Linked DNA regions of Drosophila melanogaster. The protein of the gene in region 2 interacts with the protein of the main gene of each other region in a pairwise test. Each region holds a gene or a part of one and is shown on either strand. Other genes may lie near its edges.

Region 1 (4,663 bases), 2.6 Mb from region 2:
CGCCCACTCATGCGATATGTTATGCAATAGTTAAGTTGCCAGTTGCACCTCGCGATCGATCAGATATATATTGTATTTGAATTATTGTTAATGCTTACACGGCCTGCGTTTAGCCCACTTTAACTATATCTATACTAATGTATAACTCTGTCCCGCTCCATTTCGATTCCCCATTTCCGATTATGTGCCTCACTCTCTCTTTCCCACACCCCCAAGAATATGTACTTCCAGTCGCATCCGATCCGGTTGCAGACTATATTCATATATTCATATATATATATATATATGCGCTTTATATATACCGCTCACCGGCTAATCTTCAATTATTTTGTCCGGCAAATGGATGGTCACTTTTTAAAATGCAACTTTTTACCTTTGCATAACTTTTTAGGCGACACAACGTAAGAGAATTAATTAAAAATGAAATGCAAAACTTAACTATGAAATACATATGTAAACTTTGTAGCTTCCTAATTGAATAAAGATAAATACAACTCACACGAATTTCGAACCATTTCATCATCGTCTTTTCATTTTGATGGAAGCACTTAAGTATATTTCTCGTTTTCACGTACTCTGTTAATTATTTACACTTTATAGTAGGTCATTACACATAAGTGGGCTTCTCAAGGTGTGAGAGATGTTTTACATATAATACTAGCACACGAGTCAAAATTCCGAATGCGGCGCTGTTCAATTTGTGGTCAAGTTGGAGTCCGATTCGGGTCTGGACAAAAGCGTGTGGTGGTCAGGTCCTGTATGCATGTATGTGCTATATGTGCTATCATATGCAGGCGGATGCGTGGAAGGGAGCATGGTGGGTGCGATGTGCTTGGTTGGTTGGTTGGTTGGTTGGACATGGTTCGTGGGCGGTGTTAGCGTTTGTCTTACAATTAAAATTCAGTACAAGTCTAAAAGCTACGACGGAGACGTGAGTGTGTAAGTGGGTATGGGTATGCTTAACAATGCCTAACATAAACACCTGAACAAAGGTGTGCGGCGTCTCCTTGTGCGCGTGCAAAGAGGCTGTCCTTAAGTCTACGCGGTTCTTGCGATTTATTGTAAATGTTGCTGTTTTACTGTTGCTCCTGTACTGCTCCTGTGCTGTACTGGCCGTCTATATCTAGTCCGGCAGATCGATGCTGACGAACGGAACCACCGGCTTGAGAATGTCATTCTTGGCCCCCTTCTTGCTCTTCTTGTCGTGCTTGTGGAACTCGTGCAGCTGCTCGCTGGCCGCCATGCTCGTCGAGGAGGACGCTGCGTCCAGCGGCATGGACTGTGCAGCATTGCTGTGGGTTTCCGGGTGATAGCTGATGTTGCCGTACTCCTGCAGGAACGGCATCGCGGACAACAGGAACTGGCTGAAAGACTTGCGGATGCCGAACCACCACATGTTGCCGCCCTTTGCCGAGGAGCTAAGAACTATTAGCGCCAGAATAGAGACGAGCAGCGGTGAGAAGACCACGATGTACGGGAACTTAAGCTCGCCGTCCAGCTTGTCGCAGATGACCACCTGGCGGAATAGATGGGTTAGCGATGCACAATCTTTTGGAGGGACTAGATGAGGTCTCACCTGAAAGCAGAGCAGTGGGAGCACCGTGCAGATGTTGCCCACCGCTGCGTTTAATGCCGCCTTCTTCTGCTGCAGCGAGACCTCCGGCGTACGCATCATGATGCCACAGAAGATGATGTTATACAATACGCTGACCAGGCTCAGGCATATGACGATCCACATGGGCACAAACACTACGTCCCAGTTCCAGTAGACAAAGCGATCCAGCTTTAGCGGCAGTGAAACAAACTGAAGCGCGTTGACCGCCAGGAAGAGCTCCAGCTCGAAGGAGCGATCGTGCTTGACGGCCCAGACACAGGCGCCCACACTAACCACCGAGCCGAAGATCAGCGGAATGAAGACCAGCACCCACAAGTGACGGTCCGAGGTCAGCTTATCGCAGGCCAGCAGCTCAAACATCAGCAGGATCAGGTGCAGGGCCAGTGAGATGAGCATCGCTTTGAACTGCGTGTAGGCATCGCCCTCGAGACGATAATGCGGATACCGACACCACACAATGGCTCCTACGATTGCGCCCAGGATGGCGGTGCATTTCCATATCCATAGCGGTGTGAAAATCGCCCAGTAGGGCCAATCTGGGATAAGGCATTCGATTAGACTAGGCTACTAGGCCAATTATAAGGTTAATGCCCTACAATAAATCTTGTTCAGTAATTAAAAATCTAAATATTTAGCTTAGATAAGTTATTTAAAATAGCGAGAGAACTAATATCCTCGTTAAGTGACCAAATTTGGATGATCCTCTATGGTCAGACGATTTCTTCGATATTGCTATATCCAATCTCATGATCTGCTTGCTAACCCTTGTATACAATAAATCTGGACTATTCTCTAGAAGAAGCGATGGTGCACCGTACACATATTTGTGTATGGGTCGTATATGCTTGTATTGTTATATGATTGTATTTTCTTGCATCCCCGTGCTATTTTAATTCTGGGTGACGTTGTGTATTCCAGAACTGCCACAGAAAAGTACCCACCAATGTAGTTGTCGAGGCGCAAGGCGAAGAGCGTGACAAAGATGAACAGGCTGCAGTGGACGATGAACTTGCTGAAAGGGAACATGGTCGATTATGTTTTAGATTGGGAACCCATGTGATCCGGTCGTCCGCAGTCGGAGGCTTCTCACCAGGGATTGAAGTCGCGGAACAGAGATTCCAGATTCATGTTGCTGAGGACACCATAGAGCTATGTCACTGGACACTTGGTACCTGGACACTAGTTGCTCGTGGGCACCCGCCGCACCGCGTCCGCTCCACGAAGCGATCTTCGCCCGAACAAGGCTGTGTGTTATGATGGAGTGGGGGGGCGGGGGCAGTTAGTACTCTACGCCTGGCGCCGATCTTTCACCCCTTTCCCTGTAGATATTCTGTTCTTTGTTTTATTTACACACTTTTTTGACTGGCATTTCTGTCCCGAGATTCGATATCGATAACTCTTGCCTGCTCTGGCGATTGGCTTGACTAAGGACTAGCCAGATGTCTGGCTACAATTCGCCAGATTTCCGGCTACGCTAGCCTGCTATCGATAGCCTCGATAGGCACAGGAAAATGTTATCTTATTTGGAAGATTTGAAGGAAAACGAGGACCAGCTGCGGGATTCAGACTGCTGCGGCAATGGCTGCACCAACTGCATCCTCGACAACAAGCCACGGCCAAGCAAACGCGTCCTGCTGGCTGGCAAACGCAACGTGATCCTGAGCTACACGAAGTTCCGCCTGTTGCGGCGGGAAGCGCTGGGACCCAATGGACAGTTGCTGCTCCTGCACTTTGCTCATGCAGCAGAGGAGGGGGACGGCGATGGAGCGGTGGACACGGTGCTTGACATCCCGCCCGGCCACCATGTGATGCTGCGCGTCGGCTCCCTGCTGCGTCCGTATTCGCCCTATTGGAGCGACTTTGTGGCCAAAGAGTTCCGTATCCTGGTGAAGCTGCAGCCGGAGGGGCCAATGTCTCGGCACCTGCAAGCCGTACAGCCCGACGATCTGCTGGAATTCCGTGGTCCCATCGGGCAATACGTACACGAACCGCAGCCGGCCAAGTGCATCTATATTATCGCCCAGGGAGTTGCTATTGCACCCACTCTGCCGCTGGTTCGGCAGGTGCTGGACAACGAGGAGGATATGAGTCGCCTGTGGCATTTGGTGTGCGCTCACGACCTGCTGCATGTCTACTTCCGCGAGGAGATGCTCGAGTTCGCCCAGTTCTGGAACTACAGGAGCTGCCTCTACCTGCCGCATCAGCAGTGTGACTCCTCCGCTTGCCAGGAGGCGGGCCACTGTGCCCAGCAGTGCCCTCAGCTCCGGGACAATCTACGCTACAAGGAGACGGCAAAGGTGTCCCGATTAGATGCCACCGAACTGGCCACCCACCTCAATCCCGCGATTCCCGGACAGCGTGTCCTCATCGTGGCTGGAGATTCAAGTTTTCAAAAGAACATCGCCCAAATAGCAACACAATCATTGGACGTAGATCCGGCAAACATTTATATGTTGTAAATGCCGGGAAAAACTGTAGTTGCTTATAAATATTTGAATATTGTTAATGAATTTGTGATCGTACTGGTTATACCGAGGGTTTTATATTTTTTATACCCTAGATTCGTTGAAAAGTATGTAACAGACAGAAGATATACATATATTCTAGATCTGGATCAATAGCCGAGTTGTTCTGGCCATGTCCGTCTGTCCGTATGAACGTCGAGATCTTAGGTACTATAAATGCTAGAAGGCTATCACGCCCACTCTAACGCCCACAAACCGCACAAAACTGCCACGACCACACTTTTAATAAATGTGTTGATATTTTTTCACATTTTGATTAGTCTTCATTAATTTCTATCGACTTGCAAACAACGTTTTGCTACGTCCACTCGAACGCCCAAAACTGCCACGCCCACATTTTTGAAATATTTTTAAATTATTTTATAAGTCGTGTAAGTTTCTATCGATTTAAAAAAAACTTTGGCACGCCCACTCTAACGCCCTAAAACCGCCCAAACCTGCCGCGCCCACATTTTTGAAATTTTTTTTGGATATTTTTTAATAATTTTATTAGTCGTGTAAATTTCTATCGATTTACAATTTT
Region 2 (3,494 bases):
TGGAGAACGCGCACAAGTTCTACGGCGTGCGATTCCGAAATAAGGTCAGTCACATTGATTGTGTGACCAGGGAGGAGGCCAAGGACTTCGTCGAGGACGACAGCACCCACGCCTAGGAAATTGCCCCGCCCAAAACCTCATCCCTCAACCCACCACAACCATCTCTCGCCCCAATTATTAGTTTCGTAGGCGTACGATTTGTTTTCACATTCTTTTAAATCGTATACATATATATATATATAGTTTTCTTTCTAACGATACTTGCTACATTTAATTTTCCTTAACAATGAGAGTTAGTTTTCGGCTAGGCCGTGCTCGTTGCGTGGAACACTTCGAGCCGGCGAACAAAACCGAGAGTATAGAAACTCCAAGCCCAGATCAATATGTAATAAAGCGCATAGAGAAGTAATTTAAACTATATTTAAAACGAAAATATGTATTAAAAAGCTTATGCAAAAGGAAACCGTCTAATCCAATATAATTCCACACTTTTATGTATGTATGATAACAATGCAATAATTGTTTCGAAATAAGAAGTCTGGTTTATTACTCAAAAAATTGTTCAACAACGTGCATCTTATAATTAAATGTTGGTGTCTTAGAGCTTGGCAATCAAGGCTCCAGTCCCTGGTTGCCCGACCAGCTACTCTCAGCTGGCCACAGCGTCCAGTTGCTCCTGGATGGCATTCAGCGCAAAGATGGTGCTAAAGCACATGCCCACGGTGGCCACCTCCAATTGGCTGATGTTGTAGTGCAGCGGCAGTCGCCACAGGACAAAGTGATTCAGCAGAACAAGCAGGGCCAGGCCAAGTGACCACCAGTGCTCGTCGACGATGGCGATGCGCCAAAGACAGTGGACATTCCACAGAACACAGAGGCCCAATTGCGCGGCATCCAGTTTTATGAATGTGGCACCCAGTGGACTGCGACTGTTGCCGAACCACAAGCTGGTGACTGCAAGTGCCAGTACAGCGCTCCACAGTCCAAAGGCCAGACGCTCCCAGTCGGCGCCGAAGAAGTCACCCATTCGGGTGGCCGGATTTACGGTCTGCAGCTCGCCCACCACCAGGGTGACAAATAGGACGCAGGAGTAACGTCTCGACTTGTCGCACAGCAGACGCTGCACTGCGCCCGGATTGGGATGCGTGTGCCGCAGCAGGCAGAGCAGGCTGTGGCCAAAGTAGATCCCAAAGGCGGCCATCGCCTTGCTGCCGGTGCTCCGTTTCAGACCCCAGCCGGAGATCACGGCCAGGACGAAGTGGATCAGGCACAGGGCTAGCAGGGAGGTGCCACCACTGGACCCCGGCAAGGGACCATGATTCGGAGGAGGACTTCTGTTGGACACCATTGTTTTGACTTGAGAGCGATCACGCCGGTTGCCGGTGATTCCACCTCAAGGTGGCAAATCTTCCGTCCAGTTTGCGGACGGGCGACTTGATTCCTCGACCAAGTTTGTTGCCGATGTAACGGCGGATAAATGATCTTTAGTTAAACTTTATTAAATATTTGTTGCATCAAAACAATAACAAGATTTACGTCAATATTAAATCAGTATCGTATTTCGACATAAGCGTGGATTTTTTAGGTGGTTTCTTTCATCGATAGCGTAAATTCCTCGATAATATAACGGATTCGGTATAAGTGTGGACACAGCCTTGAAATATGCCTTTTTGAATTTGACTGTTCATCCGGATAAATATGCCTCTTGTAAAAGCATACTTGTAATAGGTCGAGTTCTACATAAGGAGAATACAAAAGTTTACAACAGATAGTTGATCAAACATTTCATTTTTATTTAATCAACTAGCATTCACGTGGACAAAAACGTATACAGATGTTATTTTTATATACTAGTGGATTATATAGTAAAATACTTAAGTTTTTAAGATTGTATAATTTCTAATAAGAAAAAATATTCTTATGGGCTTATTTTGATGTCAATGCAGCAAAATGTATGCTATGGTTTTTGAAAAGGGAAGTAATTTTCAGTTAACAATATAACCGTGCATTTTTTCTTATTATTTACGAACCTAAGAAGTCGTGTTTTATTGCATCGAATTAAATTACAATATTATAAGTTTTTAGGTTTAAATTACTGATTTGTTAAAAATTTCAATCCGATTTGAATAAAACTGCTAGTTGCTTTTTGTTCCATCCCTATTATATTATATCCAACTGAGAGTTTTCATATTTCCATACACCGCGAAACGGTCACACCGCACCGCATTCAGTCCAATCGGAATCGCTCCTCGATAAGCCCAGACAAATCACGCCTCTATCGATTTCTTATAAGAAAGGAAAACGAACGAGCGTGTTATCGAGTGCAACATTTGCGATTTGCCCTGCTGCGCGCGTGCACTTTTTATTAATCTCCCGTATAAATCAGATATCCGTGTGCATTTCGAACGCGCTCCGTCAACACACACACAAAAATTAAGTAAAAAGTTTAACACGAATTGCGAATAGCGAAAAAACAAAAGCTTAAACCGTCGAGTGTGAAAATTTCGAGCTAAAAGCAAAACGAAGTTAAGGTAAATTGCAAGCAGTCACTGTTTTTTTTCTCGTGCTATTTTCTACTTCTCATCCTCCTCCATCATCCTGCCCCCTGAACCCCTCCCCCAACATCCTCGACCGCCCCGCCCCCATACAATTGTGCAACACACGCACGCACACAGACGCAAATGGGAGGCTTGGAGCAGTTTCAAACCACCAACAAACACACGCACACATGCCCAGCCACACGCGCGCATATACATATACCGATATACATATGCATACATACAGCTGTATGTGTACATATTCCAATAAGAACGGGCCAAGACGTGAAATGTTTTTTTTTGTTGTGTGTGCATACATACATTAATTGCATTAAACGGGCAAAAAAAATACAAAATATGAAATAAAAAGGAGGAAAAAAAAGCGCAATGTCAATGTCCGCCCATGCCCGTTTCAATTAATTTTCCTGTCGATTTTTGGGCCCGAAAAAAAAGAAGGAAAAACAACAGCGAAAATACGCGAGTGCAACGGGTAAAATAACATGATACACACAGCACATGTGTGTGTGTGGGTGTACATTATATATGTATACATAGGCAACATTTTTTCTCTTATTAGTCATCTTTGGTGTGTGTGATGAAAAGCGATGAAATTTCAGCTGAAGCTGTACGTACATACATCCCCAACAAACAAATTTTTTTCGTGTGCAAAAAACAGCAAGAACAAGTGAAACAAGAATAATTATAACCGAAAAAGGCTGCCAAAGGCAACTGATGGAATGGAAATATCAGTAAAATTCAACAAGAAAACTTTCGTGTGTGCCTATGTGTGTGTGTGTGTGCAAACAAGAGATTTTCTCGAAGAGAGCCGCACGTAAATTACGGCTCTCCTCGTCCTGCGTCTGTGTGCTAGTGTGTGTGAGTGGCAGGACACCAAAAGCTACGAAATTTTCATGCTGTAGCAGCAGCACATAACGGTTCTTCCTTCGCTTTTCTCAA

What was found. The genes of interacting proteins can lie anywhere in the genome.
Region 1: the proteins of CG13014 (region 2) and CG14194 interact in a two-hybrid assay, tested with the Drosophila melanogaster proteins (one large-scale study listed by BioGRID).

Annotation. Positions count from the first base shown.
Region 1 is NC_004354.4:19,191,912-19,196,574, reverse strand, and holds CG14194 (uncharacterized protein), read right to left. Parts: upstream 3,021-4,663; 5' UTR 2,744-3,020; coding exon 2,706-2,743; intron 2,628-2,705; coding exon 2,557-2,627; intron 2,152-2,556; coding exon 1,577-2,151; intron 1,517-1,576; coding exon 1,124-1,516; 3' UTR 538-1,123; downstream 1-537. Other genes in the region: CG7914 (uncharacterized protein), read left to right, coding at 3,127-4,074.
Region 2 is NC_004354.4:16,585,962-16,589,455, reverse strand, and holds CG13014 (uncharacterized protein), read right to left. Parts: upstream 1,584-3,494; 5' UTR 1,349-1,583; coding exon 650-1,348; 3' UTR 526-649; downstream 1-525. Other genes in the region: SMC3 (structural maintenance of chromosomes 3), read left to right, coding at 1-116.